Linked DNA regions of Sus scrofa. The protein of the gene in region 1 interacts with the protein of each later gene in a pairwise test. Links are inferred from orthologs where the notes say so. Each region holds a gene or a part of one and is shown on either strand. Other genes may lie near its edges. The genes, in order: HOMEZ, ELOA, PIN1 and DEF6.

Evidence for each region.
Region 2: the proteins of HOMEZ (region 1) and ELOA interact in binary tests that used the Homo sapiens proteins (3 or more experiments, as listed by UniProt). The two-hybrid records come from large-scale screens. The link is inferred for Sus scrofa from reciprocal best matches to the Homo sapiens genes HOMEZ and ELOA.
Region 3: the proteins of HOMEZ (region 1) and PIN1 interact in binary tests that used the Homo sapiens proteins (3 or more experiments, as listed by UniProt). The two-hybrid records come from large-scale screens. The link is inferred for Sus scrofa from reciprocal best matches to the Homo sapiens genes HOMEZ and PIN1.
Region 4: the proteins of HOMEZ (region 1) and DEF6 interact in binary tests that used the Homo sapiens proteins (3 or more experiments, as listed by UniProt). The two-hybrid records come from large-scale screens. The link is inferred for Sus scrofa from reciprocal best matches to the Homo sapiens genes HOMEZ and DEF6.

The regions. Positions count from the first base shown.
Region 1 is NC_010449.5:75,787,969-75,791,985, forward strand, and holds the start of HOMEZ (homeobox and leucine zipper protein Homez), read left to right. Parts: upstream 1-1,215; 5' UTR 1,216-1,392; coding exon 1,393-1,432; intron 1,433-4,017. UniProt on the Homo sapiens protein: May function as a transcriptional regulator.
Region 2 is NC_010448.4:81,563,505-81,567,628, forward strand, and holds the start of ELOA (elongin-A), read left to right. Parts: upstream 1-1,287; 5' UTR 1,288-3,316; coding exon 3,317-3,469; intron 3,470-4,124. UniProt on the Homo sapiens protein: SIII, also known as elongin, is a general transcription elongation factor that increases the RNA polymerase II transcription elongation past template-encoded arresting sites.
Region 3 is NC_010444.4:68,725,869-68,730,004, forward strand, and holds the end of PIN1 (peptidyl-prolyl cis-trans isomerase NIMA-interacting 1), read left to right. Parts: intron 1-1,973; coding exon 1,974-2,084; intron 2,085-2,979; coding exon 2,980-3,089; 3' UTR 3,090-3,603; downstream 3,604-4,136. UniProt on the Homo sapiens protein: Peptidyl-prolyl cis/trans isomerase (PPIase) that binds to and isomerizes specific phosphorylated Ser/Thr-Pro (pSer/Thr-Pro) motifs.
Region 4 is NC_010449.5:31,208,768-31,212,329, forward strand, and holds part of DEF6 (differentially expressed in FDCP 6 homolog), read left to right. Parts: intron 1-2,922; coding exon 2,923-3,031; intron 3,032-3,213; coding exon 3,214-3,512; intron 3,513-3,562.

The DNA.
Region 1 (4,017 bases):
TTCTGTTGCTTACTCCTATGATGTTTTTGTGGGATACTAGCTTAAAGGACACAGCTTTTAGGAGCTGAGACTGTTACTAAATGTGCTGAGGGAGAGAGGAGAGGAATGGGCAAACGCAAGGCACACAAAAGAAAATAGGGTTCTGAGCTGAAGCACAGATATATTTCTGATGCTTTGCAATCCTAAAAAAGCTCTAGACCTTAGTGTGGAGTGGTGAAGAATCAGAAGTAGCAGTTATGATGGCTGAATTTTAGGGGGTACACGAGAAGGGGTGAAGTCTGTGGAATACAGAAGAGTCACTTCTGAAAGTACTGTTCCCATATATGTATAACTGGGTCACTTTGCTGTACAGCAGAAATTGACAGAACATTGTAAATTGACTACAATAAGAAAGAAGGAAAAAAAAGTACTGTTCCCAAGTTTTAGTCAGAAGACTGAGAATCCTGACTATACAAATTTACGGCCCAGAATTGTGGTGTGGAATACTGTTTTAGTGTAAACCCTTTCTTGACAGCAAAACCCACGGTCCCAAATATGAGTTACAGCTCCAGGTCCTCTTTACTATGGCAGAAAGGGGGGCCTGGGGAGGTGTGGAGTGTCCTAAACAAGGTGACCCCTCCAGCACTTCCTCTTTGAGAACATCCGTCTGGTGACAACTGGACCCGGGAAGCGGCCCAAGGTGCCAGGCTGCTAGGATCCTTGTCTTTCGGGGTGGCCAAGACATTCTATACAAGTTCCCGGTTGCTCTACGCGTTTACAGTGACGCCGCCGACGGCAGCTGGGAACGCGCGCCTCCTTGTGTGAGCTGGGAAAGGAATACAGAAAAAGTCTTCCTTCCGGAGGAAACAAATAAGGAGTAGTTTGTAGGCGGTCTGGACAGTTCAACAAACTGCTGTGAATTCCTTGGGGAATTCCAGCAGGAACAGGGCCCTGTGGACTCCGAAGATCCGGTGCCCACAAGGTGGGGGGGGCGGGGGAGCGCGGGGCGGAGTACCATTCACGGCACCCTAGCGGCGGGGGGACATCTTCCCTGTCCCACGCACCCAATAGTCACCCCGGCTGAGGCACAACGCAGCCAATAGCGGACTTCAACAGAGACCCACGCTGCCAATGGCCGGCTCAGCCCCTTCCGCCGGGGCCCGCCTCCTTAAACCCACCAATCAGGACTCTGGCCACCTTGGCACCGCCCCTGGGGCCCGCCCCACCCATCCGCCCCGCCTCCAACTCGCTGGAGCTGGGCTGGGCTTGACCGGCGCGCTCTCGGGGGCGGGAGGGGGGCAAGTCCCGGTCCTGGCCCTCGGCGCGGGTGGGCTCGGAGCAGGCCGCACCGGGCAGCAACCCTATTCTCACCCCGGAGGCCCCCTGCCCTTTCTCCCCCTTTCCCCCCGGCCCATGGTGCGAGGCTGGGAGCCGCCGCCCGGGCCGGACAGCGGTGAGTGATCCCCAGCCCTTTCGACTTCCCCTCCCAGCCCGTGTACGATCTCCGACCTCTGGAGTTCCATCCCCGCGCTAGGGGGAGGAGAATTCTGGGTTCGAAGTTGCCCGGTTCTCTCTCCTTTCTCCTCTGGACTTTTCGGTTCCCTGTTGTAACTGGGGGAGGGTGAGTGGGTGTGTAGGGAGGAGGGGAAAGCAGGGTTGGGACGCCCTCGGAAAGGGGAGGATAAAGATTCGCCTGCTCTCTGGGGCTCATCGCCCCAAGTGCAGCAACTTTTTGTTCTCTGACCCAGTTCGGAGCCTTCTAGACTGCCTGTGAAATGGAGGATAGGAGAAACGTTTCCTTCCCAAGGCCTCCCCTCCTCCCCTCCACGACTACCTCCTGGCGACCTCAACACACGCACAGAAACCTGGCCTTATTCCTGGGGAGCAGTGGCCTTTGGGAATGAAAGGTTTAAGAGAAACTACTCCTTCTGACCCCTTTACCCAGCCATACTCAGAAAATCAAACCAGTAAAGTGAGAACCTGAGTCTTCAGAGGTTCCTGGTGTTGCGTCCTAATCTGAGACTTCTGAACCGAAAGACTCAAGCTGAGACCTATTTGGTAATGTGGGCCCAGATGAGATCTTTTATCATATGACCCCCCTTCTCACCATACCTTTGAAGCGCTTTTTATGGTTAAGATAGGTAGGTGGCAGTAATTGAAAACAAAAAAGCCAGCTGGGAATTTTTAAATGATGCATACACATCTTAAGCATTGTCATTAAAAGTACATTCATTTCACCAATCTCTTGGGTTAGTGTCCAGGCGTTTTCTTTGTGTACATTCTGCTGACTGGCAGTCCCAGTTGCCTTTGTAGTATAAACTACATAAGCAAATCTCAAATCTGACTGCACCCTGAGAACTTTTTAAAACTACTTATGCCTGGGCCCTAGTCCAGGCTAATTAAGTCGGAGTGAGGAGGTGAATGCTCTGGTTTCAGTTTTCCAGGTAATTCTAATGTGCAGTCTGAGACAGGAGCCACTGCCTCTCATCTGTGATTTCCAGGTTTCGTTTCTTTATAGTGAAGTGGAAATTTAAACACAAATTTAAAAACATTTAAATCTGAATGGAATACCTCTTGAGATTTTTAAGTCCCCTGCCCCTTCCATTCTTTTACAGTTGTCTTGCCTACTCTCAAGTTTTTTAAAATGTACGCTCCTTTGTATTACGTCTTTTGAAAGCATGTGACTGTTTTCATAGGAACAATTCTTAACATACTAATTTTTTCATAGGTTTATGTGATGTTGAATTTATATAAACACAGAAAAACAATAGGCCTAAGCAGGCTTGGAATATCACACACCATGCCTGAGGACACAGAACGACTGAAGGAAGCAGGTGATTTTGGCACACTGGAAAGTAGCCTAACAGCCTCTAGTTTCCAGTGCCCTGTGGGTGTGGATTACCATGTAATCCAGTGAGGATCTGTTAAGTCAGGCTCCTGGCCCAGTTGAACATCCCTGGCTGCCACTCTTTCCAACTAATATCACCAATACCTAATCCCTTCAAGGCTAATTCAGATTCTCTTGAGGCTTCCATCCACTCTTTTGATTCATTCATAAAAAGTTGTTTCTTCTTTAAGCAATTACCACACATTGCCTTTATTTATTAAATCGGGAGGACATAGGCAGAGTTTCTTAACCTGGGCTTGTGGGCACTCAGTGAACCCCCTGAGATTATACTATATATAATATGAGAGTGTGAATGTTTATTGGTGGGGGGGTATAAGTCATAACTTTCTGAGGGTCTGTAATTTCTGATTTTCAAAGAGTTCCTTGATCCAAAAACTTAAGAAGCACATGAATATCACTAAAAGCCCCTTAAGGTCCTGAAAACTCTCACCAAAACACATTTCATTCAAAAACATACTTCAGTTCTCTGAGTAAACATTTAGGGAATTTAGCAGGATCATATCTGTTCTCTTATTTGAATGATCTCTTGCTTTAACCACAAGTCTAGGCTCAAGTTCAATTTTTTTTTTTTCCTTTTTGTCTGGGCCAGGGATCAGATCCCAGCTGCAGTTTGTTATCTGAACCGCAGTTTGCGACCTACACTGCAGCTGCAATGCTGGACCCTTTAACCCACTGTGCCAGGCTGGGGACTGAACCTTGGTCCTAGTGCTACAGAATATTGATCCCATTGTGCCACAGCAGGAACTCCTAGGCTCAAGTTCTGAAGACCTCCTTTCTCTAGGATTATTGTGAACATCAACATCAGAAGTTTAAGGCAACCCATTTTTTTCTGCCATCTGCCCAGGGGTATGGAAAGCCCAAAGGGAAGTAAGAGTGTTATCTTGACTGTATTTATTGATGACTTTAAGTAGCAGTGGGACATATGTGGCAATTTTTGGGGGCATTTTTAATAAGGATGCAAACTTAATAGTAATTCAGAATTGATAATACCACCACTGACATGGACACCTCTGCCCAGAGGATTTATTTCTCTAGCTCTGATTCCCTTTTTTCCTACCTTCTCCAAAGGAGGTACAAGAACACAAGACACTGTAGTGTCTTCACTGTGGTTGTGATTACTGTAGAATCTA
Region 2 (4,124 bases), on another chromosome or scaffold:
CCGGCGGCTACAGCTCTGATTCGACCCCTAGTCTGGGAACCTCCATATGCCAAGGGGGCGGCCCTAGAAAAGACCAAAAAAAAGGAGAAAAAAAAATGTACAGTATCAGTTAATATATTAATAAACCTCACAAGAAATCTATACAGAAACAATTTCAGGAGTTCCTGTTGTGGCACAGTGGTTAACGAATCCGACTAGGAACCATGAAGTTGCAGGTTTGGTCCCTGGCCTTGCTCAGTGGGTTGAGGATCCAGCGTTGCCGTGAGCTGTGGGGTAGCTTGCAGTCGCGGCTCAGATCCGGCATTGCTGTGGCTCTGGCGTAGGCTGGTGGCTACAGCTCCGATTAGACCCCTAGCCTGGGAGGTCTTATATGCCGCGAGTGCGGCCCAAGAAAAGGCAAAAAGACAAACAATTTCAGCCAGTAAGTTGACCACAGTCAGCATTGCTAGAGGTAGGGACTGGAGCTCAGGTTGTCACTGAGCCCCAACCCTCTGTCCTTCACACTCACCACCCAACAAACCTCACACTCTGTCCACTTGGTAAGATAGAGGAGTGGCAGCGCCCAAGCCAGGAGTGGTCCAACGGGGAAGCCCTCCACCCAGAAGTATTCCTCACTCAGCACACTGCCCAGCTCACAGAATTCCAATGGACCATTCCGTGAAAGACAAGGGCCCCCTTCTGCTGTTGAAGACAGCATCTTTGGTGTTTGTTTTCACTTGTCTTTCAGGATTCTAATTGACTCTAGTGCCAGCCAGCCTGGGGTTGCTTTTTTCCAAAATTAAAGTACCTTTATGGGTTTTTTTTATTATTATAAAAGTACATATTTGTTGAAGTTCCCATTGTAGCTCAGTGGTAATGAACCCAACTAGAATCCATGAGGATGCGGGTTTGATCCCTGGCCTTGCTCAGTGAGTTAAACATCCAGTGTTGCCGTGAGCTGTGGTGTAGGTGCCGTGATGTGGCTTGGATCCTGCATTGCTGTGGCTGTGGTGTAGGGTGGCAGCTGCAGCTCCAATTCTACTCCTAGCCTGGAAACTTCTTATGCCATGAGTGCGGCCCTAAAAAGCAAAAAAAAAAAAAAAAAAAGGAAAGTAGATATTTGTTGCAAAAAGTCAAAAGTGTGCCTAGCAAAGATGAGAACCTTCCTACCCATTTTTCTTCCCCAGTATAGCCTTAAACATGCCTTCTGAACCTGTTTTTTAGGTCTTCTACAAGGGGCTCTATAGTGCTGGTAAGAGAGGTGGGAAATCCTTGTCAGGTTTTCTAATGATACTCTGGGCTAACGTTAAGTTGAATAGTAATTAGTTCAGTTTTCAAGAAACCTTCATGGAATGCCACCTGTGGGCTAAGTATTGTTGATCCAAGATGGACAAAACAGCCTCAGACTTTAGGGAACAGCATTCTGCTGTTGAAAACCCTTGTATAAACCAAGGAGTAGATTGTAATCCCCCAGTGAATATATACAAAATATCATTTTCAGAACTGGCTAAAAAACTTTCTTTTTAATCGGCGTGACATGTACAACATAATTAACTGATCTGCCAAGTAGTCAGATATTCAAGTGAGACTTCAATATTCGCAAGTCTCAGGTTGACATACATAGGGTAGAGGGTTGGGGTGCGCTCTCCCCAGTATCCCCAGCAGCATGCATTGTTTCTTTTTATTCTGGTTGTTGAGATCTCCCCGGGTAACATGCACAAAATGTTCTGAGTGTCTCAAGTATATGCCAGGTCAGTTAGTCAGCAATTCTGCTTAAAAAATGGGCCCATTTTCCCATTACACCAATGTTACATTTTCAAAATGGAAGCAATTTAAAATGTAAATGTAAAAGCATTTGCTGTGCAGAAAAGGGAGACTCTAGGGCCAGGACTAGAATCCAAGTCTCCTCATGCCTAGTTTGATGTGTTTTCCATTATACTTCATGATTGAGTCTTAGGGCACCAAGCAGGTGATGATTAATCTTTATGGACTTTTTATCCAGTGCTGATTCTATGGACTAGTTTATACCAGGCAACAGAGATTTAAAGTTGGACAGGTCAATGATGGCAGCTGATAAACAGCTCAGTGACAGGACAGAAGAATAGATGGACAGTTTACACCCTGAAAAGGGTTAGTTGCAGAGGAAAGGGCACCAAGCAGAGGGGTGGGAACACCTTAGGGAGGTCTTCTCAATTTAGTGAGTGCATGAAAGTTCTTTTACTTTTTCCGGAGCTGGGACTTGAAGAGCTGCTGGGCCTTCCCGCATTGGGTGAAAGGTCAGGCTCCCAAATTGCTGATAGTGATAAGATTAGGATATAATCTAATCAAACAAAATGTGATCAATGCTGGTATTTTAAACCAATTTTCCACTGTTCAGTACTTCATTTTAGTAGTAATAATAGTAATAGTGAAATTTAGTGCTTATAGGATGAGGGTAAGGGCCCTCAAGGATGGTCTCTTGGGCTGGTCTGATTCAGGCTGTACTGATTTAGAGAAAACAGCCATTCATTCATTCAATTATTCATTGAAGAAGTATTTCTTTGGTACCTCTGTACAAGACACTGTTTTGGGAGAAAAGTGAGACATGGACTATTATTAATTACTTCACGTAGCTAAACTGACTTGACAAATCCCTCTCTCTAGGCCTCAACTCCTTGACCTATTCAGAGATGTGCGTTAACAGCGTACCTAAACTGTTTATATTCAAATTCCAGCTTCGCACTTCTTTCCTGTTATGTGATCACATGCAAGTTCGACTCCCAGGGCTTCAGTTTCGTCATCTGTAAAATGGGGATAATATAACTCCTTTCTTTGGGTTTAAGTGAAGGTGAAATTAAGCTAGTTTACAGCTGACGCTTAGTGCGCCCAATCAGGGGTGGTCACTATGTTAATTCCCTGCTGATTCCCAGGGCAGCAGACCCACCCTGGAACCACACACAGGTGTTACTTAGGGCGTGGCTTACGGCGGACGGGGGTGGACCAGGGTTTATAAAGCCAGGGTCTCAGGCGCTCGCCTCATTCCACCTTGGTTAGACACGGGACAGGTCTTCCAGGCCTTGGCTCCGCACACCAAGGACCAGAAGCAGGGCCGGCCAGCGGTGACCAGTGCGGAGCGGGCCAGGACGGAGCGGACCAGTGCAGAGTCGGCGCGCGGGGACCAAGCGGCTCCAGCTCCCCGCGCGCGCTCGCGCGCGGCCGGGGTACGCGCTGAAAACCTGGTCCCCCGGCCCCCCAGCCCTGTGGGCGGGGCCTGCAGCCGGCCAGCCCCCCACGCCCCGCGCCCCCCCACTTCGCCAAGGCCCGGAAGGGGCCAGTCGCGCTTCCGTCTCCGCCGGGGATGCACGGAGGGCGGAGCTGCAGCCCGAGGACGCGACGCGAGCCCAGTTCCGGCGAGGAGGCCGCGCCAGTGACAGCGATGGCGGCGGAGTCGGCGCTCCAAGTTGTGGAGAAGCTGCAGGCGCGCCTAGCCGCGAACCCGGACCCGAAGAAGGTGAGCGAGTGGGCAGCGCGGAGCGGGGCGGGCGTTGGGCGCGGCGTGACCCCGTAACGGTCGCGGGCCCGGGGGCGGCCCCTTCCCGAGCGGCCCGGGCGGTAGGGTCTCGGACCCGGAGCGCGGCCCCGCCGGGCTTCGGCCTGCGGTCGGGAAGTTCGTGGCCATTGGCCACTGCCCACGCGGTGGGACCCCGCACGGCTGGCGGCGCGCCTCCGCGATCCGGCCTTCCTGCCTCCGGGGCCGGGCCGGGGCGCCCGCGGGCTCCGGGAGGGCAGGAGCGCGCTCCGTGCGGCCACCGCGTGCCGGCGGGGCTCCCGGAGCCCTCCTCCGGCGTCCCGGGCCAGCTGTTTCCTGTCGGGAGAGCTCGCCCGGAGTTAACTCCTGCCTGCTCCGTCCCTCGCCCTGCGAAATGTTTCTGATTTCTTAGTGCCTTTTGATGTTTGTTGGGAGAAGGAGGTGGTTCTGCCATTGCTTGATGGGGAGTCTAAGCTCAGTGTGGTCCTGCGCCTATAAGACGTTTTTATTGCATTCTGACGTGGTATTAGAACGTGGACCTTTTCACTTTCTCAGTAAGTCTTTTTAAAACAACATTAACCTCCTGTCACCTAGGTAAAAACTTAGGTTGTGATTGGAAGGGGAAAAAAGATTAGAA
Region 3 (4,136 bases), on another chromosome or scaffold:
CTTAACCATGAAACAAATTTTTTTAGAAATCATGTCAGGCTCCCATCCAAGCAGGATATTTTCTGAGGGAGTTGGCCGATCAGAAGAAGATTTGGGTGCTGTGAACTACGGGAGGGGGCAAAAGCTTGTCTCTTAGTCAGTGTTTAGGCTGCTGTTGCCTGTACATACTCACTGTGTATGTACCTTGGACAGGCCATCTAGTCTTGGGGATCCTGTGGCTGTATCCACACCCCCAGCTGCTGGAGGATGCAGCAAGGGGGTGCTTATACAGGGCTGGGCCTGACTCCCCAGGTGTAAATGGTGCCCTCGCCAGAGTCCCTGGAGGTGGACAGGTACACTGGGGGCCACTGTGCACTCAGGATTCCCTGGCTGGCGTTACCGAGGTCTGGACAGAGGAGCGAGGAAGAGGCCATCTTGTTGCTGCCCCGGTGAGGCTGAGAGAGAACCAGAATCCAGGGAGAAGAGGAGGTCGGGGAGGGATATCCCAGTGACAGCCTGTTCAGCCCAGAGTCACTCAGATCATAGTCACTCGAAGATGCCTCTGGCTTAGGGGGACCACCTGGGAGCCCCAGAGGGGTGGTCCGAGCACACTGGCACATTATAGCAGAAGCCACTGCAGCATGCAGTCCGTAGAGGTTGGGGCTTTTGTGTTGCATCAGAGAGCCTGTCTGACAGGCAGCATGTCAAGGTGACGGCCAGTGCAGACCAGGAGGACCAGGGATGGGTGGATGGGAGAGTAGGGACAGCCTCATCACTGGCTGGCAGCCCACACAGAAGGGAGAACAGAATGGCAACAGCAAGTGTGCTTTGTCAAGGTGTCTCTCTGTGCCGAGCACTGTGCTGTGTGTCAGTGCATTATCTGCTGGCAGATGACTAACATTTGAGGCTCAGAGGTAGAGGGGTGGTCAGGACAGTATGAGCGTGGCCAAGATACAGGGAAGGTGGGGGTTATAGGGACAGCCATGGAACCAGCCAGGCAAAGCAGATGCTGGGACAGGCGGTTGCAGCCTTGATGTGCAGCGAGATGGGGTTGGGGTGGCAGGGTGATAGGGAGTGCTGTCCTGGTCGTCTGGGGCAGATAGATGGATGACAAGTGACATTGAGGTCAGACCGTGAAGTTTGCACCAGGCTAGCGTTGGGCTCGCTGCTGCCCCCTGGCGCCCTCTACTGGGAGTCCTTCATCTTTTCCTCCCCTCACAGAGCCCAGCCTCCCTGTCCCTCCAGGGAGCATCGGTCCCCAGTGGGGACAGTCCGGGCCACATACGGTGGGTGAATGTGGTACACTGCCAACACACCCTGTCAGGGCAGCTGGAGGAAGAGTCTTGTCAGCCGCCCCTAGGGCGTACTCCGTGGAACAATGCACGTCCCTTTCCGAGCCCCAGCCTGGCAGCCTCTGGGTCCCCTGGCAATGCCCTGGTGAGCGGCCCTGGCCTTTCTCACACTTTGGACAGAAGGGACAGCTGAGACCCATGGGCCCAGGACCTGGCCGTCTCCTATGGCAGAACTGGGCACGTGCCTTGGCCTTCTTGCCTTTCTCCTAGAAGCCTCTAGAAAACTTTCCTACCACTGCCTTGAGGCCCCTGGGGGGACCCTTTTTAACATCTGTCCTGTATCCTGCTATCCTCCCTAACACGACCCGGAGGAAGATTTTCTCTCATAGCGTGTGTGTCGAGAGAAGGGGCAGGAAGAGCTATGCTCTTCACGGAGCATTCATGTGTGCGCGCATGCGTACTCGTGTTCATACAGGCGCCCATTATGGGGAGACTCATGCATTGAATGGGGTGTGAGACCAGCTGGCTGTTGAGGTCACCATAGGGTCGCGGTGTGCATGCACATGAAAAGCCCCACATCGTGGGTGCCTGCGACTCCAGGTGTGACTGCGCATGCGCACAGGGAGTGCCTTGCCGCCCTCCCTGGAGCTCCCCCCGCCCCGCCCCGCCACTGACGTGGAGGTCTCCCGGTGTGTCCTGCAGGCTATATCCAGAAGATTAAGTCGGGAGAGGAGGACTTTGAATCTCTGGCCTCACAGTTCAGCGACTGCAACTCCGCCAAGGCCAGGGGAGACCTGGGTGCCTTCAGCAGAGGTGCGCGAGGAATGGGCACCACCAAACCCTGGCGGGAACCCCTAACCCACCAGCGCCTGCCCCCCACCTAGAGATAGGGTGGGCTGGCCCCTGTCGCGCAGGCCTCTAGGGTCCACCAGGTGGCAGCACTGTTCCTCCTCGAGCTTCATAGGCTCCCCTGTTGGAGTGGCGGCCGCAGAGCCCTCTCCCAATGACCTTCTTTCTTAGGGTGGGGAGGCGGTCTGTGTGTCTCTCTGCTCACTTGGCCCCATCACAGGCCCACCAGGGTGGGTGCTTGCTGACATTTTCCTATTCTCCCATTGGAGATGTCAGGCTGGGGCCCTTGGAGGCCCAGAATCCCTTGCCTCCCCTGGTGGGTGGGAACAACAGGGTGAGGGGAGGAGGGAGGTCAGGTGAGCAACCGCTGAGTTCCGGCCTCTGCAGCTGAGACTGTGGAAAGCGAGGAGCAGAGGGAACCAGGCCACCGCCTCCTTCCCCCTCCATCCCCAGGGTCATCAGGGGCCCAGAATGGGGTGAGGGGTGTCAGGGAGCCAGCAAGGGGCTGCGGACCACCCCAGGAGGCAGGTAGGACAAGTGATGTGGCAGTGGCTGGGAACCGGGCCCAGGGAGATCAGTTCATTACTAAAAAGTATCTCTTCAGTGGACGGTAGAGGCTGCAGCTCTGCCTGCCATCCCTCACACTGTCCTCCGGCTTCCTGGGGCCTCCTTAATAGCCCTGCCGCCCCCAGCTGGGCCGCAGCTTGGCCCCTTGACAGGGCCATAAACCTGTGACAGATGAGTCTGAATGAGGGCCAGGGGCGGGCATGTGGGCGCCCCATCTGCTGGCTCTGCCCGGTCCTGGCCCCAGGCCCGGGTCTTGACCCCCCCGCACACACCAGCCTTCATACTTCCCCAGGTCAGATGCAGAAGCCATTTGAAGACGCCTCCTTTGCTCTGCGGACAGGGGAGATGAGCGGGCCCGTGTTCACGGATTCCGGCATCCACATCATCCTGCGCACGGAGTGAGGGGTGTGGACAGCTCAGGCCTGGCCTCCCGGTGTGGGGTGGGGCGGGACGGGGTGGCTGGGCCCACAGACCCTGCTCCCTGCTGCCAGCCGACCTGTGGGTCCCCCTGCCTGCTAACGTCACACAGTATTTATTGATCCCAACATGGCTGGAAGGGGGGCTCTTCACCATCGGGGTCTCCCTGCCAGACTCCCCTCCCTTTTAGGAATTGACTTCAGAAGGGCCTGGGGTGGAGAGGCCCTCCAGGCTCCCAGACCCAGCAGGTGGGGGTGACCTGTCCCAAAGAGAAGGCCTAGTTAGCCGAGCCACCCCCTGTGTTCCCCCAGGTCCAGGAAGGGGGTGGGGGGGCGTGCGGGCAGGAGGGCCTTAAGTTGTTTCTGGTTATGCCATGTTCCTCTTTTCAATTGCAAAAAGCAGATGCTCCGCTTGGGGCCCAGGCTGCCTGCTGCTTCGGGGCTCTCTCTACACAGCAGTGCAGCGCCCTCTCCACCCTCAATTAAACCTGGAACCACTATTCCACTGTCCCGTGTCTCATTTCCTCCCTGCTGAGGTGGGTGGGACACTGTTGGGGAAGTGATCATTTCCTGCCATCCTTGTGTCCAAGTGTCCAGGCTGCACTTTCCTCCCTCAGAAGCCTCTCCTCATCCTGGGCTTGGGGGCATCCTAGCAGCAGCCAGACTCTCGGAAGTAGAGCACTGATGAGTATCAGAAGTCCTCAAACTTGGGTGGTCAAGAATATTCTAGAGGAGTTCCCGCTGTGGTGCAACAGGATTAGCGGCCTCTCTGGAGCACTGGGGCGCACGTTCGATTCCCCAGCCTGGCACAGTGGGTTAAGGATCCAGCCTTGCTACAGATGCTGCATAGGTTATAACTGTGGTTCAGATCAGATCCCTGGCCCAGGAACTTCATATGCCTTGGGTGGCCAAAAAAAAAAAAAGAATATTCTGGAATGCAAGGGCCCTGACCGCACAGCTCTGGATTCATCAGAGCCAATCTCGGTGCTCTGGGCATCTCCACCACCACCACCACTCTGTACCCATGCACACA
Region 4 (3,562 bases), about 45 Mb from region 1:
CTCACGCTATACATTTTATACCCATGACTCACTCCTTTTGCAACTGAAAGTTCATACCTCTGAATCTCTGTCAATTTTCCTTTCCACTCCTGCCACCCTACTCTCTGGCAAACACCTATTTATTCTCTGAATCTATAATTCTGTTTATGTTTTGTTAGCTTTGTTCATTTTTAAAAATTTTATTTATTTATTTTTCTGTTTAGGGCTTACACCCACGGCATATGGAGTTTCCCAGGCTAGGGGTCAAATCAGACCTACAGCTGCTGGCCTACACCACAGCCACAGGAACACCAGATCCGAGCCACATCTGCAACCTACACCACAGCTCACGGCAATGCTGGATCCTTAACCCACTGAGCAAGACCAGGAATCAACCCACATCCTCATGGATACTAATTGGGTTCCTTACCGCTGAGCCACAACAGGAACTCCTGTTCATTTGTTTTGTTTTTCGTTTTTAGATTCCATATGTCAGTACTTTAAAAAAAAAAACCCAAAACTACAGATCAAATACTAAAATCATGGGTGAATAATGTGGATTTTGCTCCAGATTTCAGAGGAGATAGATGGCTTAGGGCTCATATTACCCAGCAAAACTTTTCTAAAAATCCTCTCGAAACATCTTTCTCCTTCACCCAAATTCCATTCCCTTTGGCAACTCTATACCTCCCTATTCTTCCTTCCTTCCCACACCTTTTCCTCCCTGGGCCCTGCCCATTATCTTAGAGGTGTGAAACAACAATTAGGAGTTCCCGTCGTGGCTCAGCAGTTAACAAATCTGACTAGCATCCATGAGGATGCAGGTTCAATTCCTGGCCTCGCTCAGTGAGTTAAGGATCTGGCGTTGCTGTCAGCTGTGGTGTAGGTGGAAGACGCAGCTCAGATCCTGCCTTGCCATGGCTGTGGCATAGGCTGGTGGGTATAGTTCCTACTCGCCCCCTAGCCTGGGAACCCCCATATGCCGCAGGTGCAGCCTAAAAAGCAAAAAAAAAAAAAAAAGTAGTAAAATACATAAACATATACTTCACAATGTAATTTGCCTTTTTAACCATTTTACAATTCAGTAGTATTAAGTACATTCACATGTAACCATCACAGTTATCTATTTCCAAAGCTTTTTTTTTTTTATCATGTCAAACAGAAACTCTGCACCTATTAAGTGATAACTCATCCTTCCTCCCTTTCAGTGCCTCTATAACCTCTATTCTGCTTTTCTGCCTCCATGAACTTGCCTATTCCAGGTGCCTCATATAAGGGAATAATATAATATAATATTTGTCCTTTTGTGCCTGGCTTCTTTCACTTGGCATAACATTTTCAAGCATGTTGTGGCATGAATCAGGACTTCATTCCTTTTTTTTTTTTTTTTTTTTTTTTTTTGCTTTTTAGAGCCACAACTGTGGCATATGGAAGTTCCCAGGCTAGGGGTTGAATCGGAACCACAGCTGCCGGCCGGCCACAGCCACAGCGACATGGGATCTGAGCCCTACACTACAGCTCATGGCAATGCCAGATCCTTAACCCACTGAGCAAGGTCGGGGTTTGAACTTGCAACCTCATGGTTACCACTCATATTCATTTCTGCTGTGCCACAACGGGAACTCCAGGACTTCATTCCTTTTTATGGCTGAATAATATTCCACTGTAAGGATATACTACATCTTGTTTTTCTACTCATCCATTCATGGATATTTGGTAGTTTCGATCTTTTTGCTATTGCGAATAATGCCATTATGGACATCAGGTGCGAGTTTCTGGGTGGATATGTATTTTCTTTTCTCTAGGTACATACCTAGGGGTAGACTTGCTGGATCACATAGTAATTTTTTTTTCTTTTCCTTTTATTTTAGGGCCACACCTGTGTTATATGGAAGTTCCCAGGCTAAGGGTTGAACAGGAGCTGCAGCTGCTGGCCTACGCCACAGCAATACCAGATCCTTAACCCACTGATCGAGGCTGGGGATTGAACCCGTATCCTCATGGATACTAGTTGGGTTCATAACCCACTGAGCCACAAGGGGAACTCTCTCACATGGTAATTCTGTGTTTACCTTTCGGAGGAACAGCCAAACAGTTTTCCATAGTGCCTATACCATCTTACATTCTCACCAACATTGTATGAAAGTTCCAATTTCTCACCAACACTTATTGTTTTACATTTGAAACATTATTATAGCCTTTCTAGGCCCTGTCCATTTTTATCACATAAGGAAACAGCTGTCACTGTGGAAAGAGCTCAGATTTAGGCAGAAATCCAGTTCCACCACTAACAGGCGGTGTGCATTGGGCAAGTTCTTGGACTCTTAGAGCCTCAGTTTCTTTCTCTGTAAAGTGGACCTAACAAATGTTTTAAATGTAAAATAATAAGTGTTGGTGAGAAATTGGCACTTTCATAAACTGCCTGGTACAGACCCTAGTACCCATGAAGCTCAATATGGGGTAGCTGTTGTTTTCCACTAGAATGTGAGCTTAGGGAAGGCAGGGATTTGGTTTGTTGGGCACATCTCAGTATCCCAAATGCCCAGAGCAATGAGTGGCATTCAGGAGATTTGATAAAATTATCTGTGGAATGAATGAATGGAGAACTTTCTTGCCAGGCAGGGCCATGCGAAAATGGATGGTCTCAGTAGTGACTGTCACTGGAGATGTTTGACAGTGATCTGCATGAACACTGGGAGGCCACTAGGTGCTAGGCTCCATGCAGGAGGAAACCGGTCCTACCTTCAAAGAGCCAAGTTGTGGGGACACAAGCATCCCTATACCCGACCTCCCAAGCAGGCCACGCAGGCTCCTGGCGGAGGGGGAGGGGTTCCCCTGGGGCTCAGCCAGGAGGGGCAGGGGCTGGAGCTGGAGCCCCCCTGGGGCGGCTGTGGCCTGAACCCAGTGACGCCAGCCTGTCTGGAGCCTCCTGCCCTCTCCCAGGTGCTGCCCGACCGAGAGGGGAAGCGCTGCATGTTCTGCGTGAAGACGGCCTCCCGCACGTACGAGATGAGTGCTTCAGACACTCGCCAACGCCAGGAGTGGACGGCTGGTGGGTGCTCGCCGGTTGGCCTGAATCTGACCGGGCCTCGGTCGTCTCATCTGTGAAAAGGGGTGTGGGGGGGATGATAGCACTTTGCCCAGCGCGAGGCGGGACTCCAAAGCCCTCTCCTGGCAGGGGGCCACCTCGAGGCCTCTCTGCCCCTAGCTGGTCCCCTCTCGCTTCCTCTGCAGCCATCCAGATGGCGATTCGGCTGCAGGCAGAGGGGAAGACGTCGCTGCACAAGGACCTGAAGCAGAAGCGGCGCGAGCAGCGGGAGCAGCGGGAGCGGCGCCGGGCAGCCAAGGAGGAGGAGATGCTGCGGCTGCAGCAGCTACAGGAGGAGAAGGAGCGGAAGCTGCAGGAGCTGGAGCTGCTGCAGGAGGCGCAGCGGCAGGCAGAGCGCCTGCTGCAGGAGGAGGAGGAGCGGCGCCGCAGCCAGCACCGCGAGCTGCAGCAGGCGCTCGAGGGCCAATTGCGCGAGGCGGAGCAGGTGCGGCCGCACCCGGGGCGGAGGCGGTGGGCTGATGGACCTGGTGAGAC